Linked DNA regions of Arabidopsis thaliana. The protein of the gene in region 2 purifies or fractionates together with the protein of the main gene of each other region. This does not show direct contact. Each region holds a gene or a part of one and is shown on either strand. Other genes may lie near its edges. The genes, in order: HAP6, PHB5, AT4G32470 and AT1G16700.

Evidence for each region.
Region 1: the proteins of PHB5 (region 2) and HAP6 fractionate together in Arabidopsis thaliana (co-fractionation; one large-scale study listed by BioGRID). This does not show direct contact.
Region 3: the proteins of PHB5 (region 2) and AT4G32470 fractionate together in Arabidopsis thaliana (co-fractionation; one large-scale study listed by BioGRID). This does not show direct contact.
Region 4: the proteins of PHB5 (region 2) and AT1G16700 fractionate together in Arabidopsis thaliana (co-fractionation; one large-scale study listed by BioGRID). This does not show direct contact.

What each region holds. Positions count from the first base shown.
Region 1 is NC_003075.7:11,275,551-11,286,230, reverse strand, and holds HAP6 (ribophorin II (RPN2) family protein), read right to left. Parts: upstream 7,803-10,680; 5' UTR 7,693-7,802; intron 7,601-7,692; exon of another isoform or gene 7,588-7,600; 5' UTR 7,586-7,587; coding exon 7,440-7,585; intron 7,305-7,439; coding exon 7,112-7,304; intron 7,033-7,111; coding exon 6,943-7,032; intron 6,703-6,942; coding exon 6,640-6,702; intron 6,432-6,639; coding exon 6,362-6,431; intron 6,212-6,361; coding exon 6,147-6,211; intron 5,811-6,146; coding exon 5,756-5,810; intron 5,633-5,755; coding exon 5,511-5,632; intron 5,428-5,510; coding exon 5,312-5,427; intron 4,928-5,311; coding exon 4,858-4,927; intron 4,610-4,857; coding exon 4,505-4,609; intron 4,404-4,504; coding exon 4,314-4,403; intron 4,232-4,313; coding exon 4,083-4,231; intron 3,900-4,082; coding exon 3,788-3,899; intron 3,706-3,787; coding exon 3,622-3,705; intron 3,500-3,621; coding exon 3,419-3,499; intron 3,331-3,418; coding exon 3,106-3,330; intron 3,022-3,105; coding exon 2,899-3,021; and 4 more. Other genes in the region: ZAC (Calcium-dependent ARF-type GTPase activating protein family), read right to left, coding at 71-166, 284-406, 538-688, 772-935, 1,101-1,176, 1,331-1,412, 1,498-1,537; AT4G21140 (copper ion-binding protein), read left to right, coding at 8,009-8,740; EMB2271 (Transducin/WD40 repeat-like superfamily protein), read right to left, coding at 9,945-10,022, 10,103-10,168, 10,255-10,599, 10,664-10,680.
Region 2 is NC_003076.8:4,609,051-4,615,139, reverse strand, and holds PHB5 (prohibitin 5), read right to left. Parts: upstream 2,039-6,089; coding exon 1,751-2,038; intron 1,579-1,750; coding exon 1,117-1,578; downstream 1-1,116. Other genes in the region: AT5G14290 (Mitochondrial ribosomal protein L37), read left to right, coding at 2,530-2,928; AT5G14285 (DNA-binding storekeeper), read right to left, coding at 3,696-4,460; AT5G14280 (DNA-binding storekeeper-like protein), read right to left, coding at 4,894-5,274, 5,410-5,709, 5,793-6,017.
Region 3 is NC_003075.7:15,667,740-15,675,242, forward strand, and holds AT4G32470 (Cytochrome bd ubiquinol oxidase, 14kDa subunit), read right to left. Parts: upstream 3,511-7,503; 5' UTR 3,357-3,510; coding exon 3,263-3,356; intron 3,152-3,262; coding exon 2,994-3,151; intron 2,380-2,993; coding exon 2,332-2,379; intron 2,282-2,331; coding exon of another isoform or gene 2,281-2,281; intron 1,971-2,280; coding exon 1,902-1,970; 3' UTR 1,480-1,901; downstream 1-1,479. UniProt on the Arabidopsis thaliana protein: Component of the ubiquinol-cytochrome c oxidoreductase, a multisubunit transmembrane complex that is part of the mitochondrial electron transport chain which drives oxidative phosphorylation.
Region 4 is NC_003070.9:5,705,973-5,713,729, reverse strand, and holds AT1G16700 (Alpha-helical ferredoxin), read right to left. Parts: upstream 4,107-7,757; 5' UTR 3,869-4,106; intron 3,766-3,868; 5' UTR 3,719-3,765; coding exon 3,665-3,718; intron 3,250-3,664; coding exon 3,171-3,249; intron 3,071-3,170; coding exon 3,017-3,070; intron 2,907-3,016; coding exon 2,815-2,906; intron 2,735-2,814; coding exon 2,621-2,734; intron 2,523-2,620; coding exon 2,455-2,522; intron 2,344-2,454; coding exon 2,232-2,343; intron 2,132-2,231; coding exon 2,036-2,131; 3' UTR 1,687-2,035; downstream 1-1,686. Other genes in the region: AT1G16705 (p300/CBP acetyltransferase-related protein-like protein), read right to left, coding at 208-282, 397-549, 739-853, 1,215-1,261; AT1G16690 (Enhancer of polycomb-like transcription factor protein), read right to left, coding at 4,359-4,568, 4,683-4,919, 5,022-5,090, 5,205-5,255, 5,350-5,397, 5,500-5,580, 5,682-5,720, 5,845-5,910 and 4 more. UniProt on the Arabidopsis thaliana protein: Core subunit of the mitochondrial membrane respiratory chain NADH dehydrogenase (Complex I) that is believed to belong to the minimal assembly required for catalysis. Complex I functions in the transfer of electrons from NADH to the respiratory chain.

The DNA.
Region 1 (10,680 bases), on a different chromosome or scaffold from region 2:
AGGGAAAAACTTCTGTAATGATTCATCAAGAGTAGAAAGTGATTTTGGAAATATTAGACCAAGCTTTTACCAATTTCACTGAGCCATAGTTATGAGGAACAGAGAGCATGAGTTCCTCATTCCAGACAGGGTTTAAGTTGCTCTTCACTACAGTAGATTGAGCCTTCTGGTAAAACGATGATAACGATCAGAAAAAGAGATGACAATAATGATCACTTAAACAATGGTAAGAACATATAAAGAGAAAACCTTTCAAGATTTCAAAAGTATTCACTATAATTACCTGTTGTCCTAGAGTCAACACAACATAGGGATCACTTGACATCATATCTCGGATGGCCATATTGGTACCCTTTTTAATAGTCACCTTCAACAATCCAATAAACTCAACCATGCCTTCAAGTTGCTGTCATTGTTTAAATTTAAAACACCATGAATCAGAGGACTTAGCAGTATCCAAGTTCAAAGAGTTTGCTCTACTTGCTTGATTCTAACAGTTAGATGGTAAAAAAAAGATGAAAAATAAAGAAGCTTTACCGGCTGTTGCGATGATGAATTAGTGCGAAAGCTATCAACAATCTTTTTAGATAGACTCGATGAAAGAAATGCTGGAGTCTTTGTACTAGAGCCCCTCACGGATGTGATCCGCAAGCTTGGTTTCAGAAACTCTTGGTGCTCATATTTCGACCTGAAACAAAGATTTGAGATGAATATTTCACCAAACTATTAATGAAGGTATATACACTATCTTATCGGGTTTTTGTAACCTACCTAATGAACCTCATACGCTGGTCATGACTAGCATCAGGTCCAGGCTTAGAGCTACCTTCAGGAATAAACGCCTCGTAAATTGAATTTGCAGAGGCATTTCCTCCAATTTCAATCATCGAATCGACTTCTTCATCTGACCATTCATCCAATGTCACGGATAAGACCTGGAAAGTTGAAAACTATAAATACACTTGCAAAAGATTCTGTAAGAAGAAGTGGAGCGAGATAACAAATCCACAATATTATTTGTAAGCCATCTTAATGGAATCCAATGGCAAATTTTCACCAAAGATAAACCAAAACTAGAAAGAGAAGCAAAGAGTCACAACCTTTGAGATATGACTGCCAAGGCTTCTGTGGACACCACAACATTTTAAGCATATAAACACTCCAATATTAGCTGACCTGTAATAAGCAACCAAGAGTTTTATGGGTTTACGAAAAACGAAACAAACCAAAAAATGCACAAGTAGGGAAACAAGATCATAACATTCAATCAAACTGCTTAGAGAAGCATAAAATGCTTACTGGAACAAAACATAAAAATGGCAAAACTTACGCCCACTTAGGATCTGGAGCGCCACAATCAGCGCAGACTCGGTTATCAGATTGAGTTAAAAGATCCCTTATTCTCCTTTTACCTGTGAACCAACAAGGTGGATAAATCAGTCACAGCCTATATATCTCTCATACAAAGACTAATCTTTGCTAAGATAAATGGTTTACCTGAGCCAGGCTTTCCGAGTCCGGCTCCAGAATAACTCATTGCTCTTCTAAAGAACTAGCAATCATCAAACAGAGAATCCTTCACAGACCAAAGAAATCACCCATCACGCACAATATGGTTAGAACATGGTATTGTTAAATGAGAGATCAAACTCTGCTTTGCAAATTTAAAAACCAAACTTTTTTGGGGAAACCACGACCGCAGAATAACCATGAACAAATCGTTTTCAATACCCATTTGTAGATCATCAGCATCATCGATTCGTGTTCCCAAAATCGAAATTCAAATTTAGAAGAGAAAAAAAGGCCAAAAATCTGATCTTTGTTAATTCCTGAAACCATTTCAACGACGAAAACATAACCGACAGGAAAAGACTTACAAAGAAATATTCAAACTCGATGAAACATAAAACCGATGAAGAAGAGATCAGAAAGGAACAAGTAATATGTACGGAAATTCCATCAAGGAGATTTATAGATTGGATTGGACGTTCTTACCAAGGTGAGGAGAGAGAGAGAGAGAGATATGTTCTTGGGACACAAATTCAAGATGAACAAATAATTGTCTGAAAAGACAACTACGTGCTTTTTCTTCTAAAATTTAATTTTCCAATCAACTGTAAAGTTTTGTGAAGTTGTAACGATGCAAGAAAAAAAAAAAAAAAAAAAAGTTGTAACGTTGCCATTGCCATGTTAAGGGTCAAATACCAAATACATTTCCTTCGTTGACTCGTTTCTACCCAAAGTAATTTCTACATTTTTATCAGCATTTATTTCTATTTTGACTAGAATGAAATTCGGTTTGATTTTATATATAAAATTTCATTTCGATTTTATGGCCAGCCTATTTCAAAATTTTGTTAGACCTTTTAACTTTCCACAAACACTCATAAAGTGTGAATAATTAAGAAACTCATGTGATCTAATCATGAGCTAATCATTATCTTAGTTGATTTGGTTCAACAAAAAAGCTAAGGAAAGAGACTCTTGATTACTTTTTAAGACTAAACTGAGAGAGTATGTAAACTCTGAACTTCTTTTGAATTTGTCTATCACCATAATCTATAAGCAATACTACAAAACTGAAAATACGCATAAACCAAAAAAAGATCCTTCATAGTGAGTTCTTCTTCTTCAAGCAGATTTCAACTTGTTTGATGCTGATGCAAGTTGAGATAGTGTTCTGTGTCCCACGAACAACAGAAACACTCCCAACAAAGAAAGTGCCTTGAGAGTCGTGAATAGATCCAACTGTAGAATGCAAACAAACAAAACAAAGAAATTGTGATTTGATGCAATGATTCAACTGTAGAATGCAAACAAACAAAACAAAGAAATTGTGATTTGATGCAATGATTCAACTGTAGATCAAACAAACAATAATCGGTTATGAAAACTTGCCTTCAACCAGAATAGCACATATAGAAGCAAAACAGCTCCAATTCCGCAGTGGAAAAGTAAAGCGGATATTGCAGATCCAGTCGACGATGGGAAGCTCTTTATGTTCACTCCCAACCGCGTAAGCTGAAACATAAAAAATATATATGAGTAGTGAAAGAAATGTGATGATGTTTTTCGGATACTATTTACAAGCAAAGGGAGACTGACCCCAATCAGGAAACCGATGAATGGGAGAACGATAACACCCAAGAAAACTAGTGAGAGCTGCTTTGCTGGAAGCTTTTCAGGAATCCTGAATATGTGTGATATTTCAGCTTTTGGCCCATATCTTGAGTAAGGCTCAGTAGACTGTAGAGGAGGACGAGTCGCCTTCTCTGGACGCTCTGGTAGGTCTAGTTCAATGTGACCAATATTACTCAGTAAAGAGTTCTCCTGGGAAAAGAGAAAGGAAAATAACACTGTTCAAATCTCAGAAGACATAAATCATCAACTGCATTGGACCTGAAAGTAAAGTACTTACCATAGAAGCATCTCCAATGGTTAGCTGTATCTCATATTTACCAGAGAGGTAGTAGAGCTTCTCAACCAATCCAAGAAAATCCTGAAGGTAAGAAAATAACATTAACCATTAATATTGTATTTAGGACGTCATTAATTTCACCAAACTTGATCATTAAACTTTTTTTGCAAAAGCAATTTTAAATGAAGTTGAAGGAACTTAACTAGAACTAATTCAGACTTCTTTCCAGAAGTTTTCACGAGAAAGATATGCTCGACCTGTGACTCATGTTTCAGCTTGAAAAATGCCTGCATGGAAGTAAGCAAGTCAAGAAAGTGAATAGAACAGAATATAACCATTGATGAAGCGAAAAATCAAGAATGAACAAACCTGGTGTGGCTTAAACGCATTGCCAAGTGGAGTAGTTAACTGGAATGACAGGCGTAGCTTTTGAAGGTGGTTTGCTGATAATGATACCGCTCCATCTTTAGTTAAATCTAGCCTACAAATGTTACAGAGAGAACCAATAAACAAAAAGAAGACACTAAGCACAACAACAAAAAGTTTGAAATATATATTGTAAGCAATAATGGTACAAGTTTCCTAAGAAAAATGGTTAAGCAATTAGCAATCAATCAAAATAAGCAAAAAAGGAAGTTGTTCATCAACAATACAGGTGACATACTTTTTCTGAGATTCAACGCTTCCAATGTCACTGTCAAGTACAGCAATTTCTGCATTTTCAATGCTAATAGCTCCTGTGGCAGCTATAGGCACTTTTGTTTGAGCTTCAGTTATGTATACTTTCTCATGTGCTGATTCATCCAGCACAATCTGCAGAAAACGAAGCTTATCATGTTGTCATCATACATTTATATGAAGTCTTGGGTGTAGTAAAACCAAAGAAGTGCAATACCTTAAATACAAAAGTATATTTTCCAATGTCAAAGTTCTTGGGAAAGGAGTCCAGGAAGTACGTTGCACTGTCAGCGTCAAACTTAAGCTCCTGTACCCCAAAAATGTAATGGAAAAATGTAAACCGGCCTAATGCAGAGAATAAGGAACATTTCTATTGCAAGCTCAAACAGTAAGAGATACATTATTTACCTGGTTATTAATTACAGATGAATCCACTGACTTAGAACTTAGAGCTTGTGTAAGCTTCACACTAAGAGCTGGTGCCTTCGAACCCAGTACAGTGCTAACTTTAACCTAGTTCCAGATAAAGAGAAAAAAAATCTAAAATAAGAAAAAATGTAATGGATGAAGGGTCAACTAAAATGAGTCATTATCAAATAGATAAGAGATCTCTACAAAAAAGATGCAATGCTATGAGCCTGAGCAATCTCTAAACCAAATACCAGCTAGAATCCAACATCCAACCGTTATAGCCAGAAAGTCCAAAGTTAAGACTTTCACTACTAGAAGTCAAATCTTGATGCAAGCTTATGAATGGGTACCTTCAGAGGCTCTTTCTTTGTCAATGAAATGACAGTGGATGGAAGAGACAAGATGAGTGGAACAGAAAACCTGAAATGATAGAGAATGACCATAGAGCAAATTATTGTTCCCATAGAATGATAAAGTTTCAGCTAGACCATAATAAATGAGCAAGTGGTTGAAATTTCACAAGTGTTCAAAGTTTTAAACTTCTACTCTTTCCCTACAGATATCATTTCTTCGGTAATCATTTTGTTCAAAATTCTAACAATGTAAAGAGAAACAGTTTTTCTCTTTCATAAGCAACTTTACTTTAACACAAAAGAATGGAAGTAACAGTAAGTCCTTGTAACTCTTATGTCTTTCACACCACTCAATTCAAGGTTACTGAAATGATTCTAAGATGTGTACTGAAATAAACTAATAAGAAAATGCACAAAGAAAATGCACAAAGGGGCATGAAAGTAGTATTACTTGTTGTCTTCCAAACAAGCTAGTGCATCTATTTGGTTGAAGAAGTCCTTGGCATCACCAGGAATTCCAACACCCAGAAAGAATTTGGCCAGACCAACTATCTTATCACCTGGAAGCTGCATGAGATAATGGGAATGCGAAGGTCAACTATCAACACATTTGTCAGAATAGGATACATGAAAACATGGGTATTACATACGTTCAATCCTGTGGATTCTGAAGCTGCAAATGACGTGAGCCCTCTAATAACTGATGCAGTTGTTGAGATCGGGCCTTGACTTGCATCAACAGACTTCTCATCAAAATAAAATGTCCCATCATCTAAAAGACCAAAAATAATAATTCAAAGCCCACATATGCAAAACCCAAGCTGGCAAAAACTATGAAGTGAGTGAAGAGAATATAACATGCAATACATAGGATAGCAAGTAATTTACTGCATACCATATTTTTGGATACTGTCAGAAAGCTTCAGGATACCCGTCTTCACCGACTGGATCTAACAGAGGACAAACATGAATGACGATCATTACATAACCAAGATTAATAAACTACCAGATAAAATGAAAAAGAAACCACCAGAATAACCAAATGAGAAGTCAGGTGGACATGCATAATTATCAAAACACGAATCTTTCTTTGTGATTATCAAATCACAATTCCCTGTAGCTAAGATTTGGAATTTATAATTATCAAAACAAAACTCTTTATTTTAGTTACTTAGAGATTCCAGAAGCAAAAGTAGATCATCACTAAACCAACATATCGTAGTGATATCTCATCAAAATATATTCTCAGGAAATCAGAAGTATAGTGGATTAAACATCTCACTTACCAAAGATGGATCAAACTCTGAAGGTGCTAATGAAATCACTCCAGCAAGCGTTTCATAGGCTAAGCCTGAGAAAAAAAATCGCATGTTGAGAAGAATGAGTGAAATAACAAAGAGCAAAAGAAGTGAACAAGCTGAAGCAAGAAAGGAAGGGATACATAATCTAAAAGGCTCATCATTAACGTTAGGTAAGGGTTAATCCAATATGTACTACTAACCAGCAGCAAAAGTGCTTGATTCGGGATTGTTGGAGCTGTAGCGCCATCTTCCATCACTCTGGCTAAGAGACTGATACAAATGCACTATATCAGCCAAATAATACCCGGAAAACAATCTAAGTAGTATTAATATAGTAACTGAGTTTTGGTAACATATCGAAAATATATATATACTTCTACCAGAGTCTATAATTGATAGTCCAAAAAGACAGTGTATGAATGTCACATCTGATAGTTCAACAACAACAAAATTGAAGGTCAGCTAAACAAGTTCAAACCTTGATGGAACGGAAAATGGCTTCGGCATCTCCAAGACTTATATGAGTTCCAGGAAATTGCTCCTGCATTCATGGAACAGTGAGGTCAAACTTGAAGCCAGGAAAAAGAAAAGTCAGGAAGCCAAAGCTATGGAGTTGAATAAAATAAAATAATCACGATCACAGGTACCTTCTGCCAAAACATTTTCATACTTCAACATAATGCACGAAAAACTAAGAAAACTCTCCTAGAAATACTCTATGGAAAAAGGGTGTAGTCAATCTCACTCAAGATGTCCACCAAAAGTTTTAACTCGTATTTACCTTAGCCAGCACCAAGCCTCTGACAGAATAATAGAAATCAAGCAATAGCTTCGCATCTTTAACACCAGCTTGAAGTTGAGAAACAATGTCCTTCAAAAGAGGAAAAGATAAGGTTATTTTAGCCGCTTAATAGTTAAAATTATGATACTGAGAGGAGACAATTGTTTACCTTAGGACCAGCTTCACCAATTTTACATTTTAGAATCCCATTAACGTTTAACGCATAAAATGCATCCTTAAGAGTAGAAGAAGACGACTGAAGAACTTTAACCACATTCTCACAAGTCTTTGAGCTAAGATCAGACTTTTTATCAATTCCAAGAATCTCCAAAGTCTTTAATGCTTCATATGCCTCCTCCAAGCTGATAGTAATAAAAATCAGATTAGTCCGTACAAAAACCATTCATGAACATTAACGAGCAACCAATATGTAATCGGTGAAATGTGGTTAAAACCCCTACATCAAAGCAATGCCGACTTAAGATAGAGAAACCAACCTTTTGTATGATCCATCGACTGGTACGAAGACATCCAGAGCCGCAGATCGGTGAGAGTCTGAGATCGGCTGGAAAACAGAAGCAGCACCGCAAATTGCTACGGCGAGTATCAAAACCAGAAACCGTACGTTACCTCCGGCCATCATCACTGCATAAGAAAACTCAAAAAAACAGATAAACTCATCCAAATCAATACAATTACACATCTACGACGGATGGATTCCAAAATCAACCGAAGATTTAAGCTTCTTACAGATCGGAAGTAGATCCGTATAGTCGAAGAAGCGGATCAGAGGTCGACGAGTCTCAGTAGTCAACGGAGACTGAGGTTTGAGGTAAGCCTAGGATCGATCTATAGCTTTTGAACCAGACGACGAACCAGAGAGAAGGCTAAAAAATGAGTGTGAGTTTGATGACACTACCTGATATTACCGATTTACCCTCGATTTGAACTTAAATTACACTTCATGAAACGACGGCGTACCTTGAAACCCTAAACCTTGCAGATCAACTTCAATCACCATTTTCATTTCAAACAGAGAGAGCTCTGAGGAAATCAGAATCTGAAAATGATCAGATTCGCGAGACCAAAACCTATAATTGACTCAGTGAGTTACAATCTTCTCCAGAAATGTTACGCTAGTGGAACCCCCAAAGGAAAATCGAAGCTGAAGACAGGCCAATCATTGAAACGCAACAAACTCACAATCAAAAAAGGCGGTGGAAACGGCGGTGGCAGAGGTGGTGATGAGGTGGATAAGGGAAAAGGAAGAATCTCAGATCAATGCATAAACGCTCCTTGTCCTGTTCGTTACCTGAGACCTAAGGAAAGAGAGCGAGAAGCGAGACGAGAGAAGCTAGGGCTAATCAGTAAAGCGAGGCAAAAAGAGATTGATTTTCAGAAGAAAGGTGGATCCTTTACGATGGGAGTTACTACTGCGCCGATGAGGATTGGGACTCCAGGATTGGATTACATTTCGTTAGGGATTTTTACGGAAGATGAGTTACCAAAGTATAAGGTTACAGTGGAGGATGGGATTAGACTTGCGAAAGAGTATAGTAGAGTGCTTATGAGAGAGCATAGAGCGAGACGTGTAGCGGAGATTAGTTTGATGAAGATGAGGAACGCTGCGGTTGAGGCATTGCCGGAGAATTTGAAGAAGGCGGCTTTAGTGCGTGATTTGACTCCGTTTCCGGTGAGTCGAGGTACGGCTACGCTTACTCCACCTATTGAAGGGTATTTGGAGAGGATTATGAATGCTGCGGCTAGGAAGAGCTCTGGTAAAGAGAAGTTGAGATGATCTTGTTAAGGTTAGAGGAATTTGTCTTTGCGTCATTGGTTTTCTCTTGTTTTATTAGTTGTGTTGATTGGATTTCGATCAATGGATATAACTTTGAGACATTTGTCTTTATTTTTGTGATCTACTTGAAATAAAATGGTCACTGGCAGTTGCTACTATATGATAGAATATTAGTTGAAGCTTGAAAGTTTAATCTTTTTCTACTTTATATTGTTTCATATCGGCCTTCTGAGAGGTGAAGTTGTCTAGGATGTAAATGGAATCTTGTTAAACCTCTTTTGTATCTCTTTCCTTGATCGTGTTTGCCTGTTTGCATACTTCTTTCAAATCTTCATTTTTCAGTATTATGTGTATGAACACTGTACACTCATACATTTAGGATTTGTCTCTTCATATATTCTAACCTTTAGGAAGGCCACTGGGTCATGATCAGCTCAAACTTGGTATAACTTTTTATCCTTACCAAAACCATATTCCTAGATAAGAACTGCAGACTATCTTGGAATCTACAGTTCTGCACCAAGATTACAACTGTTTAATCAATATGGGAGTTGAGGTTTGTCCTCTGTGAGCTTTGTGTTGGAAGTTCAGCAGAATGTTATGTAGGAAAGGATGTCCTGCATCTGCTTGTGCTTCTTCATTCAAATGCATAGTTTCTGGGTATTTTCTTCAAGCTCTCCATATCATTTTCTGCATCTTGTTACCCGGTCCAGTAGAGTGCAATGGCAAGAGTCCTAAAGCTACAAAGACCACGATTCTCCAAGGATCATCATAGTTTGAAAGCTGAGGTAGCTAGTCTAGAGAGAATCGTAGTCATTAGACTTCATCTAGGGACCTCTTGGCTTCTATGTTTCCTTAGTTCACTAGCTATTTTTGTAGACCTATTGAGTCCAAATCTCTGGTAAAATAATCAAGTTTGTGTATCTGAGTTCTTAAACCACAAATTTTTATCAATTCTAGTATTCTTTAGGATCTTTTGAATACCACTAAAACAAAGTTCCTCTATGCGTAAAGATCAGATTGTATATGTTGTTTGATCAATAAAACAAGACTTTTAAGCATAAAGCAGGAATGGGACTTTCCGATTTTGTTTAATTAGAGCCTCTATATGTTCTCTTTCTTCCCTTCCATGTCAAAAATATAGCTGTAGTACCTCTACATAACTGAAGTTCTAAAATAAGTTGCAATCTAAATTGAGATCCCTTCATGAAAGCCTTAAGGGATGTATTGCAACACCGTTCTGCGCAGATTTTAAGCAACCCCATCTTCCGAGCCGCGGTTCCTGCCATATACCCAAAGTTACAGTTAAGATTGGCATTCACAGAGACGAATATATATGTCTGGTTAAAGGAAAATGTGTACCTGTCCAACACCAGCGATCAGAAACCGACCAGATTTTGCAAAAGCTAAAGAGTTCACAAACCCAGGCTGCAAAAAGGTCATAAGCATTGGATGTCAGTAACAGATGCAACACACAAATAGCAATAAGAGCCGACCTAGGAAAACAAACTTACAAGTGGAAGCTCGTATAAAGGTTGTATAGCACTAGATCCACTTTCAACACCCCATAAACGCACACAACCATTACCAGCTCCCGATGCAGCAAGCTCGCTACCTCTACAGACAGCAACTGAACTGACCCAAGAACATGCTGGTGTACAGTTATGGTTAACAGAATCATGATCAGCTATCACGTGGTGAGCATTGTTAACGATAAACACTGGTTTCTTTTTCAAAATGGACCAAAGTGCAATACTTCCATTATCTGATCCGGACAAAAACTCATCACTATTAACAAAACAGCAGCACTCAAAATTTGATTCGGAAGCTCGATAGATCAACCGAGTAGACTCGGGAACCTGATAGGAAACAAAAATCGTGCTTAGATATAGACAAACAAATCAAACAGACCACAATACCTACCTTATATAACTGCATTG
Region 2 (6,089 bases):
TTATATATCTTTGCTATTCACTGATTTTATAAATTGGAACTTATTGAGTAAGATTCCAAAACTATTAATCATAGAGATTATTGACACTTCATTATGTTTTTAATCATAGACGTGTGGGCAAAATGACAGCACCTTAAATTATTTATTTTGTTACAAAATCCATAATTAATCAACTCATCTTGGTTATTTAATTAAGAGCACATTCATTATAATTTTTCTTTTGCCAGCACTATAAATTTTCTTTGGGCCAAAAACATTTATTAAATTTTGTAAGATGTTAGATTTTTGGTTACCAAAAGCTTAAATTATGTTAAATTTGGGAATTTAAGAGGGAAATCTAGAATAATTGTTTGACCATCCTACCTTGAATTATAATGTTTAATAATTCTATTCAATGTTCAAATGAAGATATAAGAAACTTTCTCCATACAACGATAAAATGAAAATAAAAACCTTGAAAAATTCAAAACTTTGGTCGCTCATGGTGAACTTGACCTTAAAATTAAAAACCAAAGACTTTACAAAGAAATGTAGAAGACACTGCTCGAATTTGTAGAATATTAATTAAATTGTCACTAATGGCCGTATGTTTTCAAAAAAGGTTAACGACACTAATTTGCAATATTTGAATCGGTCGATAAGGCCCATAAGATAATATAGATGGGCCCAAGTTTCTTTCGAGGTGACACTTGTGACTTGTGATCCGATGAATAGCTTGTTTTTTTTTCTTTCTAAGATAACCTAATTTGCATTTTGTTTGTTGATATCTAATCGAAAGCTGCTGGATAATCAGCTCCCATTTTCCCTAGTGAGGAAGTATGTGCCATAGCTACCAAGGGCACTGATCCAGGTTAGATCAACCTTTGAACTTGGACTACTTAATTATCTCTAGGTCTATGCATAAGTTTGATTGGCACAGTGATTGTTTAATTTGATGTCAATGTCGACTTAACAGTAGATGTGTCATGTGTCATGTGTGCGAGTCTCAGACTCGCAAGAACAGTCTCAACTGGAGTATACTAGGGTGATCCAATACTAGGAAACTATATAAAAAAATGAAAATCTTAAAACACACAAATCAATATAACCATTGAACACCATATTTTTGCAACTAATTCAAGCAACAACTTTGCTTGGACCGTTCATTGCAAACAACATATTCCCACCACTTGGCAAATAGACGACATTGGGAGAATTAGAGAGCGTAATCGCAACCTCTCTAGCCGCCTCGACCCTTCTGAGCTTGATCAACCCCATCCCAGCCCCTGCAGTCGCTTTCGATATAACCCGAGCCGCCTCGCTCTCTCCTTCTGCTCTAATCACAGCCGCTCGTCTCTCCTGATCAGCCTTTGCCACTACGAACTTGGACCGCTCAGCTTCTTGCTGTGCCACCTGCTTCCGCTCCACCGCAAGTGAGAACTCTTTACCGTATGAGAGACCAGTGATCGACACGTCATCGAGAACAATGTTGAACTCCTTAGCTCGCTTGATCAACGTTTCGCGTATAAGAGCTGAGACCTGTGGACGTTCTGTTAAGAGCTCGTCAGCGTTGAACTGAGCCACCACCGCTTTAACCACCTCGTCCCGATCGCTGGTAGGACCTTTTCACCATAGTCGAGACCTAAGTTTTGGTATATATACGAGAGGCGCGAAACCTAACACGAACCCACGGAAAACAGTTATATATTATTTTACATATATATCACAAAATCTTATTAGTGAAATTTTTTGGATATTCGCGGGAACTTACATCAGGGCGAAACATAACACGAAGTGTGAGGTTGACCATCTGAAGATCCTTAGTTCCAGAGTCGGTATTGATTTTGTAGGGTTTGGTCCGAATGTCGAAGATATACGGCTTTTGCACCCACGGAATCTTACGATGTGTCCCTTCTCCTACTGGTTCTTCTAGAATCCCTTCGAATCGGTGGAACATAACAGCTCTCTGGCCACCATCAACGGTGAACATTGTTGATCTCACAGCCGCTATGGCAGCTCCTAGACCTAGAGCTACCTTTGTGAACTTTGACCAAGGCATGATTGGCTTTGAATGTCTCCTGTATGGATTTTAGGTTTCTTTTTATGTTGTTTAGGGTTTCTTTTCTTGTCAGATAGGTGAGAAGTAGTTAGAGAACGCAGGAGATGAGGTTTTATAGGAAGTTTTTTTTTTTGCGTGAGGCAGAAGTTAAGGAGAAAGCTTATTATATTGGGCGGGTTCTTATTTAGCGGGTCGGTTTTCTCACGTTCTGTTACTCACTCGGTCAACCATACCTGCCACGTGTTACTTGTATGCATTACTATTGGTGGGCTTTTAGACGGGTCTTTTAATTTTCCGGTCCGTTACTTTTTAATAAGTTTTACCAGTTCCCGCGATGCACTCGCTACCTATCTCTATCTTGCGAGTTAAACCCTCACCCAAAAATCTTCGACAAAACTCGAATCTTGATCTAAATCCGAGAACGAACATTATAGGATTGTGTAGATTTATTTAGTTTTATTTTGTGAATTTGCAGGTATAAGGTTGTTGATATGAACCTTATTCGAATGTTTGGGGATTCCATTTCTAGATCCAAAGATGTAATGCGATTTGTGTGCCAAAGAACATTTGCTACAGCTGCTGGTAAAGCGAAGAAGGTTGGGAGGGGAGATGGAGGTAATGATGCACCAAAAGCATCGAACTTGAGCAAAGAGATCAAATCGAGTATGGTTGTTAGTGCTAATACTCTGAAAGATGGATTGGACCCTAAGATCTTGCCTAATTCAGATCACCCTGATTATTTATGGCATCTGCTTGATAAGCGACCGGCGCTTAGCGAACTTAGAAGGAAGAACGTTGAGACTCTTAGTTTTGATGATCTTAAACGTTTTGTGAAGCTGGATACCAGAGCTAGAATCAAGGAGAACCATTCTATCAAGGCCAAGAACTGAAATGAGATTCAACAATGACTTGTTGTATGTGTCCCTTATAATTCCCCTTGTTTGAGCAATCCCTTCATTTTCCTTATTATCTTTGGGATTATTTGATCTTAAAAGATTTTTCTCTAATTCCATGCTCTTCTCAGTAAATTGGTTAAATTTGTGTATTTTATGCTATTCATTGGCCAAATGGTATATCATTCAGCTTTCCACAACAGACTGCCTAACACCATGTCTCAGCTTGGATGGTATGTTTAGTCCCCAATTCTCTTCCTATCCTCTTCAACACATGAAAAGTTCACAATCCAATGATCGAAGATATGAATCTCTGTGTTTCGTAATTTCTTACACTTCCCCAGCTAACTTTTGATTCTTCCAAGTAAAAGAATATATGGCTTACCAGTTGCTGGTTTCAGGGGACTTGGTGTTGGCCGTAAACAAAGAGAGTTATAAAGCCAAATATAACTCACCAAGAATGGCACACTTCATAAAGAAAACGTTTCTCATCAATATCAAGAATCAAGATGTGAGCAACCAAGTGTAGCAGAGAGACAAGACATATGTGTATGGAAGAAACTCTTAAGAGAAGAACTTCTGAACAATACAGAGTTGAATTAAAAGTGCATTTTGCACATACTGCTTACCCAAAAGCAAATCTATTATTCCAAAACATACATCATTTAGAGGAATTCTAAAAGGTGAGAATAATAATGGTATATATATTATATATAGTACATGAAAAGGAAGATCAAACAATGATCTAGAGAAGAAAGAAGAAACTATCTAATTTTCTTGTCTACTCTGATTTTGTTAGCTTTCCTTTCACTAAACAATTCTATCCAGAGATTCCAAATCCAAAGTATACTAACAGTAATAGCAATTCCAACAACAATTGCCCAAGAAATCCACAACCAATTAGGTATCACACCATGAGCACCACCTCGAGCGTAAAACGCTACCATTTTCCCGAAAAACAAAGGTCCCAACACACCCCTAACGATACTGTAGAAGGCGTAAAACGGAGGAGACAAGAGATCGTACACTTTCACAGCTAATCGTGATTCCGGATCATTCTTCCTTGCTCCGGCGAGCGTCCACGCGTTCTGACACGCGCTTGTTACTTCAGCTAGAATCAGGAGGCCTAAGATGGCGCAAGCCCCGTGGAAGACGAGGAATCTGCAGGTTAGGAAGACGAATAGAGTGGCTACGTGATGGCCGATGAAGAGTACGTCGTTAGGGTTGAAGACGATGTAGTGGAAGAGATCGGTGAGGAAGTAAGCGACGCTGAAATCGAGGACGGTGTTTTGTGCGGCGGTGTTTGCGGAGGCGAAGGAGCGTTCGGAGGAGGAGAAAACTGCGCGTGTGGCGAGGAAAACCGCTGGAGATCCATGGAAGATTGAGATCAGGCAGCTTGAAGCTTCGGGACGGATTTGTGGTTTCCAATTGCGGAAGACGATGAAGTAAGCGATTAGGTAGATGGTTAAGAACATGGAGAAGAAGATAGGAAGGTCTGGAATTGAGATTTCTCCGATATTGATCGACATTGAGATCGGAATCTCAACCCAAGAGACAATGGAAGAAGAAGAAGAAGAAGAATAATCTACACAGAAGAAACTTAATCCCTTTTTATCGTCTGTCGTCTCGTTGAGTTTTAGCTTAAACGATAGACTGATAGACACATGTATCAAAATATCTATTTAATCATATATTATATTGACCAAAACAACTTTATAATATCATCTCTTTTTATGATGAAGAAGGACACTGAGGTGTGATGGTAAAAATCAAAGTGAAATGGTACAAATACTTTCCCAAGTAGATCAATCACCAGAAGTTGTAGTAAAGCTAAAGACATAAACCACATTTATAGGTAAATGGTCTATGGCTAATAAGTAGTAAGAAGTAAGAAGTAAACTATATTTTTCAAGCCAATTCCGAAACGACAAACACCAAATGCTGAAATGGCGTTTCTTCATTTTATTTACCATCATTTGCTGCCTCTGCAAGCTTGGCGGAAAATCGAAGCTTGTTGATATTCAATTTTAGTTCCTCAACACATAGTGCTTTCCATTCATTGCTCAACTCTCTTCTTTTACCAGTTCCAAGGTTCATCAGCTTCTCAAGCTGCAACTTCTTTTGATAATCACTTAATCCTTGCGACATCATGGTGGTCTCAAACGCATCCCGCACAGCACACAACACATCATCATCATCATCATCACTCTCTTTTCCAGCAGTCCCGTTCTTCTTCGTAGTTATTTTGTCAACAACAACAACAGCTTCATGAGGTGACTTGCCACTTTTCGCAGCCCCTTTGTCAATTAAGGCCACTTCCTCATCCTCCTCAAACACCTCCTCCTGTGATTCAACAAACCATATAATTGAACAATATCCAAATCATTCTTAAACCACAATTCATTAAGCAAGTTTTATTGTAACAGATTTGACGATTGTGTATCAAAAACAAATGACAAACTCTTATTAGTCACTTACTCCACTCTCGCTTTGATGTGCTTTATCCATAACACCATTAGTGTATTCAGCATCAATTTTACGCCAAATCATCATGGAATATCCAAAAGCTTCAGTTTCACTAGACCTAGTAAAATGTGGATCATTTCCTTGATCGATTTTCTCCATTTGATCAAGGAACTTCTTCTTCAACTTCCTGGTCTTACTCATAAGCTGGCACTTGGAAACTTTCACATGAATGGAACCTTTGACGTAACAATAAAACGCATCCCAATCAATTTTGGATTCGAGTCCTGTTTTAGCTCGAAAATCCACCAATCCCTGAGAATTATAGATATGCCGTTTCAGGAATCGCAACGCAATCAAGTAAATGCAGTAGATAGATGAGACAAAGTAGGAAATACCTTTAAGATAGAGAGCTCGTCTTCTTCGTTCCAGATCCGGTTGCTCGGAGGAGAAGCCATTTTTGTGTTGTGCTTCGTCTTCTTCTTTTTCTTCTTCTTCGTTTCTTCTTCTGTTGCTGTTTCGGAAGCAGTACGTTTTGAAGTACGCTTCTGTGGAGGGTTATCGTCAGAGTCGTCACCACCACCACCAGGTGAAGAGAAACCTAGCTCCGTCGGAGTCGCCATTGTCAATTTGCTTACTTTTATACTTCACAATTCTAGCCTGATTGGCTGGCATGCAGAGAAAAGCCTTAATCA
Region 3 (7,503 bases), on a different chromosome or scaffold from region 2:
AGATCAAGACTTGCGTCTTGGGGAATGCAGATTAACACTGACTGCTGCCTTTGTGTATGAATGGAGGAGACACGCGATCATCTTTTTCTCCACTGCTCCTTTGCGAGAACGATATGGACTCTTGCCTTGCAACGTCTGCACTTGTCCCCACAAGTCTTTGGTGAATGGCAGGATCTAATACTTTGGTCTAGCTAGGGTAAAGAATCGTGCTTCTCCGCAGACCCTTCGATTGCTGCTTGTCCATGCCCTGGTTTACAGTGTTTGGCGACAAAGGAACAACCTCATCCATAACAACATCGTAGTGATGCCGCTTACAATCTTCAAGGAAGTAGACCGGCTTATCAAAAACTCCATTACTGTTAGGCGGAAGCGAAAGAAGTTCAAGAATCTTATGTCACTTTGGCTCAGCTAAAGAATCCTAATCTTTATTTCTTTTCTCTGAGATTGTGTAGAATCCAAATGATTCCTTGTTTTTTTTATTCTTTTTTGCCAAGGAACACTTACTCTAGGTCTTATTGTAACACCTAAACCTTCATTATAACTTTCTTAGCAAAAACAAAAGACAGCCCCCCAAAAAAAAAAGTAAATATCCAAAACATACACCAATCTTAAAACCAATAATATGAAACTAAGACTGACCCTTTTTATATGTCACATCTGTCTCTGTCAGTAATGAGTATCCACCTTGTGTACAACCTTAATTTTTACTTCCATGGACCATTCAAGATCGCATGTTTTTGTCTACAACACATCTTCTTACTTTCGTAGTTTATCTATTGATTCTCCATTTGGTTGCCACAATGTTCATAGTTTCATATGATGGTTTGTAAAGCCCTCAAAACTAGCCTAGAAGTCGAACCAAAAACATCATTTTAGGGAATATACTTGAATTTGTGTCGAGTCTTAACTCATCTAATCTTCTTGTTACCATCTCATCTCTAAATTCAAATCCATATTTCTAACATTTGTGGTTGGCTAAACGAAAGTGAGCAAAAGAAAAGGATGAGAGAGAGAGGGGACAGAGAGGAAGATGGGTAACTAAAAGAATAGATCTGGCCTGAATCTATTAAAGGCTTGAGTTTCAGTCTACACACTCACATGCAAATGCTCTTTTCTGGATATGAAATATTTATATACATAACATGGGTCTCTCTATCTTATGAATGAATGATTTTACACCCTGTCCGATAAGTTATAATAAGTTAGTTTTTGAAATCCAAGTTTCATTTCCCCGATATGCCCAAAGGATCTCTTTCCATCTTCTTACACTTGCCGGTTTATCTCCTCCACAAGTAGATTTTTTGTGTATTCGTCGATTATGTTTGAACTCAACGTAAGAATTTTCGGTTGCCAAGGCCGATCATATAATAATAGTACGGATGATTCCTTCCTATCTTTTTAACTCAGTGAACTAAGAGACAAAAAGAAAACACACACCCATAGTCCCATACCATAGACTTGGACAGTTCAACGACTGGCTTTATCGGTGCCTAATAAACTCATAATTCTCTCCCATTAATTTCTCACATGAAACTGTCAATGCAAAGGATACATCAACATGGCTCGACCAAATTCCCAAGAATATGGAATCATGGCACTTCTACATTTCAATGCATAAAACTTAAACGATTCTGAGAGACCAATTATAAGAATAAAAGAGCAAACCAGACCTCGAAAATGATAAATCATCGAGACAGACTTGAGTTGCGTCGTCGATTTTATTCAAGCCAGCAAAAGCGATAAAAATGTAACTAGCAACATATCCACTTAGGAAAACTATCACAGATTTATGCTTTTTCAAATAGTAAATAGCTCTGTTCAGAAAGTGAGCACCAAAATATCAATGTTGCAGATTTATGCAGAGAAGCAGCGTTGACCACAAGAAAAGGGGAAAGGAATGCTTATGGGAGTGTGCGCTGGTATAGTGGTAGAGCTCCCAAGGCCTCTCGTTCCTTGCTTTCCCTCTCAACCTGCAAATCACAACATAAAGACAGGGATGATGACAACGATGATGGGCTATCCTTACAGAAAAGTTACACTCAGAACTTTTCAAACATTGCAAACATTTTCTTTATGATGCAATACTTCATGAAATAGGGAAATTGAAGATCTGAAAAAAACATATTGCTTCAAATAACGAAGGAAAAGACATGCATCTCATCAAAGTTTTCATCATTGTCAATGCAGGGAAGCAGATAGGCCCAAAAGAAAGAGGAAACTTTACTTCAAGAAGGAATAGTACGCTTTTATGACACTGAATTGCAGTTTGATTGTTCCTACCCTAGACGCAGATAATGATTTCTATGTTAGTTCATCAAAAAGGAGACTTACAAGAGCAAGCATGTCCTGAAGATAGCCACGGAATGGGGTCTGCACCGCCTGTATATGAAATAACCACATCAAATAAGAAAGTTACAATATCCACAACACTACCTAACAGTTGCAATTTCTGATAGCTTAATCAATTTTGGAAAACTAAAAGAGCCTTATACTTTTAAAGTTGTGAACTTTTGATAGCTTAATTAAGCCAGCAATAATAACAGTTACATTCTTATCTAATAACAACATCAAATAAGAAAGTAACAAAAATCGAAAAGTCTAAACCATAGAGTAATACAATAGTATACATGCAAACACCACTTTACTTTATTGAAAGGGAAAAAAAAAGATGTAACAAGGATTCAACCTTTCATCAATCCAAAATTTCCAATAATCTCAAGCAACAGCAGAACAAACACAGTAACGCAAGAGACAAGCATAGACTATGCATAAACTAGTTTATATACATCTAAGCTCCACAATCACAAAATCCCCAAAGTAAAGTAATATCTTCTGATGAACTAGTTTCGATTTCAATTTGATATCTTAATTTCTTCATTTTTCTAGCATTTAATCAATATTCGAGCTCAAATGCCTGGGTTACCTATCCATATTCTAGATTGATTCTAACAACATCAATTTCATCCAAAGAAATAGAGAATGAAGAATTATACCTGAAGATCCTTGGGGAGGTACTCGTGCTTCATGGAGAGGTCCATGGCACGCTTGAGACGCTGGTTACGAGCATCAACGACCTCCCTGGGCAATCTGTTCATAGCCTCTTTGATGTCCATACTGTAATACTGATCGTACAGATCATCGTACCTCAGACCTAATTAATCATTCAAACCAAACAAAACAAAGCAGATTCAGATTCACTCATGAACATTGACAACAAACTCGGATTTCAGAAATTAGGGTTATGGATCGAGAGAGATCTGACCGTATCTGCGAAGGCGAGTAGATATGGCTTTCATATGCATACGAGCGAGGAAGTTCTTCTTTGGATCGATGAATGCTTTCAGAAGCGACGCCATTTTTCTCTGTCTCTCTCAATTTCAGATTTTCTCTCTTTGTGCCAATGAAAGAGACCAAGCTGCTGTGTCTACAACAACTCCTGACCTGAGAGAGGAAATAATCACATAAGCTCTGCTTCACGTATTTATTTGGGCCTTAAGTGGCCCATCTAAGCTTCACGTATTTTTGACATATATAGGTCACGTACTCACGTAGTAATATTTGGGCCTTAAGTCGCTCAGCTGTAGCGTCATTTAAGGCCCAGTGATAACTTGTATTTAGATTATAAACTAACTTGTCTTAATAATTCACAAGAAGCACCAGTGGTCTAGTGGTAGAATAGTACCCTGCCACGGTACAGACCCGGGTTCGATTCCCGGCTGGTGCAAATTTTTAGTGACCCTTTTGTTTCGTGTTTCACAAATACATGCATTTAACTCTTATTCGATCCTACTTAAAAAAAAAAAATGGGGGAAATTTAAGTTGTAAAATCCACTAAACTCATGTGAATGTTATGTATAGGCAAAGCTAGTTGTATGAATGGTAACTAGATTAATCACAAAATTGATATACCAGTTGTGAAAAAAGAGGGTTTAATTTAATAGCTGGAATGAGAAATGATAATCTTGTTATATAGATGAGGTAAGTTAAACAATTATAATTGTATCTTCATTCTTTACTCTAGACGAATTGGATTCCGGCTAACACCACTACTTGAGAGTTGAAAGGCATGTTTTTGTCTGCTTATGATTAAATTAACTTAAAAAGTGATTAAGTATCGTCTCAAGTTGCAAGTGTAATTTAAGGTTAAAATGTTGTGACTTTAACAAAAATACTCTCAAATCTTGTGTTCCCACTTTCTTAGCAAAGCATTTTAAACAGTTTCTTGTCAATATCTAAACTAACTTTAATTAAGGTTAGGTTAAAGAGATAATCATGCATGTAGTAGGTACTTGATTTAGTTTGATATATTTTTAGTTTGGTGGGATTTTTGATCACGACCCATATCCTAATTGCTATTTTTTAGCCACGAAGTCGTCGTCATCATCCTTATCGTAAAATATGAAGTAGGCCTAAAGTTCAGTCCCATTTAGCTTCATGAGTTCATAATTTTTGTTTTCCAAATAATTGTGTTCCGATAATAACGCACAACTATGAATTGTAAAAGTTTGTTTTGTTTGTTTCAAAAGACAACCATATATAACTCGTCTGACTGAGTGGTTAATGCATGTGGGCATGTATAGTGACTATATGAGCTTGTCTCAATATTTGATGTTTTGAACAGTATAAACCGGTTTTAGCTTAGCACATAATACTCTCTCTGCTAAGCTCACGTTAATTTAATTAGATATATATTTATCAAATCACATAAAATTATATTGTATGGCAGAATTATTCAAGCAAATGCGTATATAAGTTATAAAATTTGGAGTGATGAACTGATGATTAACTTTACTGGACTGAAATGTTTTAAAAATTGTGTAGACTTGGTCTTTCTTTTACACAAAATGTTATAATTCGCTGATAAACAGCTTTCATAGCACATGGTTTTGGCCTCAATGGCAGTTAATTATTCAGTAACTAATTAATATCACGTTTGCCTTCTTTTTAATTGGCCCTTTTTGGCCGTCTCAATTTTTTTTTTAAAATGGAAATTATAGTTTAGTTTAAATTTTGTACTGTCACAAATTGTTGTCATATTGATAGTAGTTATCTTTATTTAAGATTTGATTTTTACACTTTTACACAACATTCCAATATTTCATAAGTGTTTGATAGTGAGGTCCATATATATTACACTGAAAAGTTGTATTTAATTTATATGATGAATGCAAATTGCCTTAATTTATTAGATAAACAACACTTTGTAGATCATTAAGAAATGGAACTTTAGTAGCACTTTAATTGTTTTTGCTTGGACATTAGATTGATTGTGAACTTTGATTTGATTATTGTTGCTTTATAAAAACACAATAAAGTGTCTACAGATAGATATTTAGGATACAATGTTTTAGATTCTTATTTTTAGGATGGGAATATCCCATCAGTCTAAATGCTGGGAGACAAACGAATTTATGAAAAAAAAGTATTCCATATTGATTCCTTCTTATCCCACTCTTCTTCCTGAATAAAGCTCTTAAATTCAAGAACTAAATGTTTAAAAACTACATAAATAATGTGGAATTCTCTGCTATTCCTAGGCGAAATGTGGTGTTTGTTTATAATTTTCCTTTGCTATCCCCAAAGCTTCTAAAGACCCTATCATTTCAATTTTCTTGTCAAAATCACAATTGATCAATACAAGAAATTGTAGTATCTTAATTTGGTCAAGTGTTCTAACATATCTGTAATCAGAACGATCCTTTTCAAAAGTTTTGATAAATTAACGTTTATGTATTATTCAATTTCAACTGCTTGTCTTTTATCAAAAAAAAAAAACATATACATGTTAAAAATAGTAAGATTATAACTAATCTTTCCATTAACATTTCTTTCTTTTTGACTCTTCGGATGCTCTTCTAGCCAGGCTCTAGCCCTCTCTAATAATATAACTGATGACTGTCACAATATAATTGATCATACATTTGAATTAGAGAAATATACCGATTAGCAGCATGATATTTAACCAAATCTGTTGGAGTAAGTTGAATATGACTCAGCAGTTAGCCTAAAAGTTTTTAAGATATATACAACAATAATTAAAGGCGAAAAGGGTGATATAAAATATAGCTGAACAGAGTTTAACATATCTTATACTGGGAAAATCATGTGTATAATTATATATACAAACGTATGGAAACTTGTCGAATGAGTCCGTCTTCTAAAAAAAACAAATCTCCTGCAATTAAAGATGGGTTTTCACTATTGTAACTGTCGTAGAGAAAGAAAAATAATTGATGGTATTGTTGTCTACAACAAGTTTTTTTTTTTTTTTTGTTGTTGTTGTTGTCTACAACAACAAACTCTATTTAATTCAGTTTTAAACTTTTTTTTCAAATAATTTTTGTTTTCTTCTGTCCGTTAATTGATAAACTTTAATTTATGTAAATAAATTAGTTGAAACTTTAATTTTTTTTGTAGTATATATTTTCCATTGCCATCAAAATTCTGTAGTGTATATTAGCGCGAAAGATGAGCATTATATATCAGATTGGTTAGTTAACGTGTCCAATATGCACTCCACTAAGGCACTAATTTAGTTTGTAATTGATGTATCAAGAACATTTTTTAAAAAAAAGATCAAGAACATTATAATAGCATATCCTTGCCACAAACATATATGGGTACATGGACAGCTTTGAACAGCACTGACCTAATTTAATTACACACAAATTTATTTGACTCTCATACTAATTACCAAACGTCGATTTCTGAAATAAATCATTTAAATTTCAAATCTTAATTTTATTTCGTTTTTGTTAACCAAATAGTATAACAAGTACAGTATCAAAAGTTTCAAGTTTCCTTAGAATGACCTAATCACTATTCGATGTACCAACGTATCTACTAAACATAATATGCATGCAATGGCATTATTGCATTTTTTGCACATTTTACAATTTCTTTCTGTTAGTGACTAACAAAATGGTGTAACTGTTTAGTATTTACCTCATCTCAATGATGATCTGGTCCACATGCTGCCACCATGTGACCCTTACTCCAGAATATTCCCAGTCTCCAAAATCCTTCGTGGAGAAAATGCGGAATATTCTACTAAACCGAATCCTTTCATTTTATTTTATTTTTTCCTACTCTTTTCTGATTATATTTAAGATCCGATCAACTTTTCATATGGGCGATCGAGAAAACATCTATTTAATTTGTAGAACTGTAAAAGTGATATAAAACCCATGCATGTGTCCATGGTTTGATAGACATCTGAATATATATCGAAAATGTGATATAATTCTATAACCACATTTGCCAATCCTTCTTACCAAACTAAAACTAAAAGTATGTATACCATTTCATTTTGTTGTAATTTTTGGTATCTGAAAACTGATTATATTTTTTTAACAAACCGATAAACTGATACCGTTAATATTTATATTAGAGCAATTTTTTTTCAAAATATAATCAGATCGAATCAATTGAAATAAGGAAGATCATATTTTCCGGCATATTTTCTTAAAATAAGTTCTAACTTTCAGCTAATTTCCTCCGATC
Region 4 (7,757 bases), on a different chromosome or scaffold from region 2:
ACCATTCAAATTCATACATGTTCCAAGTCTAACCGGAAACAAATCATAACCGGTTTTACCATTCCTACTTTAGATCTTACAATTAGCAATACAGTAGCAATGGAGAAGGCAGAAGCGTTAGTATTGTATATGTTATCATCTTTTCCTTGTAACATAAGCAATGAAAACGTTTCCAAACAAGTCGTAAAAAGAACTTTCTGATAATCTTCATGGCTCAAGGCTCACTGACTTCAGATTCTCAGCAATCTCTGTCTCGCACTGATCTCTGTTCTCATTATCCTGCTCCAAACCAAAAAAATTTGGAACATCACAAAGTTCAGAATGTTTATAATATTACATTTCGAATTATACGCCTCTTAATTAAAGCTCGTGAATAATTCGATGTATGTAATGTACCATTGTGGGTTCAGCAGAGACTCCTGGAGTAGGTGTTATGGTTGTTCCAAGCGTAGAAGAATCAGCATGTTGGTGCTTGTACTTATTCAATTGCCTGCCTTTTATTAAGCTTGTCAAGCGAGATTCAAGAGTTGACGGGTTCAAGTATTCCTCCTGTGAGTTTTGAAGTTAAAAGTGTCAGAAACGAAAATATTTATAAGGGAGGACATATAGCAAACAAGCTGGATTCAGTGACAACATGTCAGAAGGCATCAACCAGTCTTGTTTAGTTAGAACTTAGAAATTCTCAGTAAATCAAATCCTAAATGCTTATAACTAATCAAGTAAATATAATTGATGTACCTTTGTCATAGCCATTTTAAAAAGTCCTTCCTCTAAGCGTTTAGCAGCATCTAAATGCTTCCCCTTTGATGCATCATCATTCGGAAGTGGGTTTCGCTTCTCTAACTGGACGAAGCTGGAAAGATTGGATGATCAGTTAATTTGAAACGTTTCCTCAAATGAGGTAACAACCCATCAAGAAACCCTCTAGTGTGGTTCGGAGATATACACGCAGAGAGGAAAACAACTATGAACACCAATGTGACAAGACTGGAATCCAAATAAGTAACATTTCAGTAGTAGAAACACTAATAGATGATATTGTTTCTTAAGAAACAAAGCAGAAATACATGATCACAGAGCCAAAAAGCAGTAATAAGTTAGATCATTCCCACTTTCCCAGACACATTAACTCAATCCGTAGTACAGCAGCAACTAACAGAGAAAAGGAAAAGAGTGCAAGAGGAACGAGTGAATGTGAAAAATTGAAGGCTTACATAGCGTCTCGCATGGACCGGCGAATCTGGAAAACATCATTGTCCATGGGAGCAAGTGTAACGTGAAATCCCTAAAGCAACACCAATTAACCAGCATAATCATAATCAGTAGTAAAACCAAGCATAAGCAAAGAAAGAAGATACATCTAAACCTCAGATGATAAAACCTAGGACTTCAATCCAACTTTAAAATTTGATACACAAAGAAAGAAGCAATCTTCCACCGCAAAGATCAGAGCCTAGTGAGGAAGATTCTTCCTTACGAGATCAAGAAAACGTAACCTATGATTACGATGAAGAAACAATGTCGCACGTCTAAACTCACGCAAGCCAGGAGGATAAGTAAAATGAGAAATCTCTGAAAGAGATCTTGAAACCGAGAAGTAAAAGAAGATGAGAAAGCGAATTTAAGACGAAATTCCAAATAGAGTAAGTTCCTGAGCTGGAGTTTCTGCCAATCAGAGGTTTTTACTAGATATGCAATTATGCATGTTCATGCCAGTCTATTAAACTACCATTTTACCCTTGTATTTCTCTGTATTTTACATCATTAATGTTCTCTTCAGATATTAGCAATTTTTTGTTAGACACTTGACCGACCGACACTGAGAGTAACAACACCATTGAATCATATCATAATCCATTTACCGCACGGTCCAGCTCAAACCGGAAACAAAGCCAAATTTGATTTTGCCATCGGTATGAACTCAAGAAATACAGATAGCAATAACAGTGCAAAGGCTGAAGCATCTTTATTTGTAACAGAAGCAAACGAAAACGTTTCCTTAAGAATTAGGCAAAAGGCATTTTCGGATCAATATTCAGCGGTAGAGGCTCTCCGACCTCAGATTCTCTGCAATCTCTGTCTCCCACCTATCTCCATTCTCAAGAAGCTTCTCTTTGTCATACAGAAGTTCCTGCACACCAAAAAGAATCAGAATGTCATTTATCGAATAATACACATCTAACTTTAAGATCATGGGCAATCTTATGTCTTTCTGAATTGTTTATACAGACCTCATGTGTCTCGGTTGCAAACTCAAAGTTTGGTCCTTCCACGATTGCATCAACAGGGCAAGCTTCTTGGCAGAAACCACAATAGATGCATTTCGTCATGTCGATATCATACCTGTACAGCTCCGAACAATCACTACACTACGAAATATATAGAAGAACCATAGAGACAAGACAGTATTAAATAATATATATATGGTTAATAAACGGGAACTTAGAGGGTGACCTAGTGGTTCTGCGGCTTCCATCTTCCCGCTCCTCTGCCTCTATTGTGATTGCTTGAGCTGGACATACCTGATGAGCAAAAGACCAGTATCCATGAAAAATCACACTTTATGTCAATATTGTGCTGTGGTATGAATTCTCGAGTAGCATAGACTTCAAAAACTCACAGCTTCGCAGAGTTTGCAGGCAATGCAGCGTTCTTCCCCAGTTGGATACCTTCGAAGAGCGTGTTCACCACGGAAACGAGGGCTCAATGGACCCTTCTCAAAAGGATAATTGATCTGCACAAAAGATAAAACTTGAGAATCAGAATATTTTTCTTTCAGCCTAATTACTAGAGTCAAGGGAGACAGCCACTCACTGTAACTTTTGGATCAAAGAAGTACTTGAGGGTCAGTGACAAACCCCTGACCATTTCAGTGAGAAATAGGGTGTTCATGCTCCGTTCAAAGACTGTAAAAGTAAGAAACATCAGGAATCGCTAAGACTCGCAGAAGGAAGTAATCAGGAAGGAATGCTAAGAGAATAGAAAGGTTGAAAAGTGTCTGGATCAAATAGCTTACCAGTACTCCAGTCCTTGGAGATCTCTTTAGCAAGCTGCTCAGCTTCTTCATCATCTACATATTACCAGAGGCAAAGGATTAGTAACCTATATTCCTGAAAAGTCATAGCCTAAATTAACCAAGAGAACCCAAATGGAAGCAACAAAATTTATACCTTTGTTGCTTCCATAAGATATAGCACGGGACTGTAGCCCACAGAGATGAGATCCCTGTAAACCTTGCCCTGAAAAAGCCTATCAACAAAGACAAGGTAGATGTTAAATGCGAGAAGAATTCCATAGCATAGCCACCAAAAGAGCTATTGAAAGTAAAAGTTAACTACCACGACGCTCTCAGTTAAAGTATTTATATTTGCAGAGATTGAGATAACAACATTTAGGCGATACATTCTCTCTTCAAGGAAGAGTATATGATCTAAAGGAAAAATGAAGCTTCACGATTGATGTACCAACGCAATACAAAGAGATGCATAGAGGAACAATACCCAGGAAAAAAAAAGACAAAAACATGTATAGCAGCACCACTTGCACATGCCTAGAGCCGGCCGGGGCAGACAATACCAACTAGTGATTTCAAAAAACTTAGCAGCAATTCCAAATTTCTAGGAATATAAGCGATATAAAATGGAAGAGCCTACGAGATTCTTACGAGATGTCGAGCTCGGAGAGCACTGAACGACCTGCGAGCTAGTAGCGAAGCCATCGATAGAACTCAAAATATCAAATTAGGGTCTCTCTTCTTCGATGTGCCTGATGTGAGAGAAGAAAATCCGATTAGCTGAAAAGCTTAATCAAGCAAAAGAAGCATTGAACAAGAGAATGACCAACGAAAAGCCTAAAATTCCATCCGAACCTTAAACGCGATACTCAAAAAAGCAAAGCTTCTGCACGAACCCAGAGAAAGTTCGATCTCACAAGAACATTGACACGAATCCTTTGCTGGTGATTCACGGTCGTCGGAACAAAATTCGATCAGATGTCTCTTAATTTACAAATTGACCCTTCTGGTTAACTACTTACTCAGCTCATAACCGGGCAATCAAACCGGTTATATTTGGTATGACAGTCAATTCCTTCCAAGTTTCACACATTTCAGGATCCAGGTTCTCAAGACGTGGACCAAACTAGACCATTGCTGAAAAAAGTTAATACCTGATCAATGGTCACTAACCGGACCTAAAGTTCACAAAGTAGCCGAGATTGATCAATAAACCGGGAAAACCAAAGACTACACAAAATTTAGAGGAGATACAAAGTGTTTTGGTGACAATCTTCACCACCACTGGGGAGGAACTAACGGGGATAACTCTTTACAATGAAGAAGAAGAAAACTAGTTGAGATGTTATGGTGCTATGTAGAGAGTGTTGCCACAGTTAATGTGGGCTTGGTTTAGAGGATTCCATCTATCAAATACAATCCGACCGCCTCTACCCATTCTTCCTTGAAACCGAGCTCTTCCACTTCTTGCATCTGATGGAGGGATGATTCCCGCAGCAGCCAGTTTATCGGGGACCAATGCTTTCGTGAACAGCATAACTGGCTCATTAGGATTCTACACAGAAACAACATAAACAGTGAACGTAATTCTCTCTTTTTTATCTTGTCACCAGAATGTAGTAACCTAATAGTCTCAAATGTTTCAAATACAGAGGTTCTGAAGAATTACCAGTTTGTGGAGCCATCCAAGTCTTCTCGCCTCTTGCTTTATGCTCCCGGCTTGAGCTCGAGCGAGGTTTGAGTCGGTGAAACGACGATGAGGGGTAAAGGAAGGCCTTGTACATGTTTGGGTGGTGGTCGGGTCATCGGAGTCCATGAATTCATCTTCGCTTGAGCCAAATCTGTAAGCTGTAGAGAGTGGAAACCCAGCCAGAGCCAAACTATCTTCCAAAAGTTCGGTTTCATTCTGCAAACATATCAAAACCCCACAAAAAAAATCAGAGGAGATCGAAATGCACAACTCTTTCTGGTAACAAAAGAACACTCGATGCAGGTTGTAGAGGACTACCTTATATTTCAGTTGGATTCTCTGAAGGCTAACCTCACTCGCCATGAAATCCCTCTTTTTCTCTTCTCTCTATAAAGATAACATGTTTTTAATCAAGTTAATACCTATGGAGTCTGCAGGTATCTCTTAAGATATCAATAAAATTACATTCAAGTCACAAAATATAGATGTCATTTAGATTACCTTAATAAGAGCTTCTAGAATGGTCTTTGCTTGGTCAAGATTGCGCCTGACCTAATAATAACATATCCCAGAACAGAAGAGAAGAACGTTTGAGAATCCAGGAATTATTTTAAGAAGTTAAACACAGATTCAGGTCTTCCCTTACCTGTCGCAGCTTCTCAAATGACTGCGCATTGTTTTCTCTCTGCTGCATCTGAAGTGAGGTCAACTATTGTTAGTAAGTTATGGTGCATTTTCCATACTCACACATGTAAGATAAGGAAATTGATAAACCACAGACAACAAGACAGCCTACTCTTCTTGCGTGTAGTCTATGAGCTTTCTCCCGTGGCCTAAACACATTGTACGGATTGGTATCATTGACCGGTGGTGGAGGCTGTTCCAAACAAAAAACACAAGAGTAGCTAATTTTCAGTACATTTCAGAATAAATTCATTTCTTCCACATGTAAGATTGAGACCAGTCCAAATGATATACCTGTAAACGCCGCAAGATAGGCTTCTGCCATATTTCACGCTAAAAGAATACAAAAGTCGAAGTTACTTAATGTTTTAAGCCTATGCCCAAAGAACCATTAACAACTTTTCATTAAAAAAAAAAAAATCAATTATCATCAAACTATACGACAACTATATCAAACCTTATTTTTCCAATAACTGTATATAGCGTGGAAAACTCCATATTTGATGGACAAATATTTCAGCGCCTGTAAAAAAAATGGAAATAGCACAATAAGAACAATGTAAATGTCCTGCTCTGCCTCTGAGTAATAACCCCAGGAGAACACATTCCTCTAGAGGAGGCAATATAATCACTATTACTAGATCTATGCTCCTGGCTCCTGCTACAGTTTTAGGCAGTGAGGAAAAGTATAATCACATCCTTTGGAAAACTGTCCCCGTTAAAAGATGGTTCACTATGATGAGAACTAGCCAATCAACCATCATCATTTTATTCCTCCTTTTGAGTTCCATAACCAAATATAAATCAAAATTAGATAAACAAAAGAAAATAAGTGTATACCTCACCAGCAGCATCAGGCTGCAAAAGCACTGGAACTGGCAAACCAAGGGTAGGAGTAATAACTCCAGCTCTTTCCCGCGCCTTATGATCCAAGACCTCTAGTTTAAATATAACGATCTCAAGCCTGTATCAAGTAATTAAGCATGATTACGGGTAGCAGGTTTTTGTTTTGAAACAAGAGAAAAGTTGAGCACTATCTCAACTCAATGTTAGGGGAATATCGGATATAAGTATAGAACCAATTCTTCTTTCAGTTTCCACTTGATCACATAGTTTTTGCACTATTGGCAAAATCCAAAATAAATTGAAGGCACCAGAGGAGAGACAGAAGAAAAATTTAGATTCTAGAGCTAATAGATCCATCTACCACACAACAAAGCTCATAGAAATGTGGATAATATAAACTATCTCAATGGTTAAAAATATGGAAAGCATGTTATAAACAAACAATTAACAAAATCTGAATAAGAGGTAGGAAACTTTACATTTCAGGTGAGAGAATCATTGTCTCCTTATTATACTCATAAAGCCAGTCATCATCGTCATTGTCAAGATCATACTCCACAAATTCTCCAAGCTCAGCCCGAGCTGCAAAACAGATTTTCATTTCCCATGTTGAAAAGATAACAAATGTTGAAGAGCATTTCAGGTATTAAAGGTTTACCTCCTCTAGCGCGTAAATATGAAGCAGGCTGATTAAAAGTCCTAGAGTAGTCTCTTTCATATGTATCAACAACAAGATACTGAGGTGTTGGGATTTCCGAAATCAGTTTCTTACTAGGCACTGGAGGCTGCACCTGATAATGTGAATACAAGAAACTTTTAATCATCACTCTACAACTTCACATCCAAACCGATACACCGAGAAAAAAAAAAAAAACTTCACCTCATTGTCAACAACCTCTACGGCAGATATACGCAGCAACTGAGAGTTTCTAGTAATGGAAGAAGGATTATCTTCGTCTTCAAAGTCTTTAAAAGACTTTAAAATTGGAAGCTTCTTGTGTATGTCCAGTGGACGGGGTCGAAAAGATAGCCTACTCATTTCACTATCTTCCTCCTCTCTACTAAACAATATCTATATAGCTATTTTGAGTACGAAAGACCTCATCAACGCTTTGCTCCTATGAGACAGGAAGAAAGTAAAATCTGCAAATGGAAAGAAACAACAGAAATCGCGCAGATTCAAAATCCCAGAACCCTAAACTGGTAAATGTGTAACAATTTCAGTGTAATATCGGGGGGAAAGCGAATGAGATGTGATATACTTACAAGGCGAGTTTTCTATTCCTCCGGACGAATCGTACCGGCTAATCAAAAATCGGGGTCTGTTCTCTTTTTCGAGCTTACCCAGAAACGTTGAAATTCAAGGAAGAGAGAAGCTTTATAAATGTCCGAAAACGAATTGAAAATTCCTCTCTAGTCTCGACAATTGAAGTAATGGATGTCGAGTTTCACTAATACTCGATTAACAGACGAGGACAAACAGTTGAATCGAGGAGGGAAAATATTTGGTAATAAGCTTTGGTT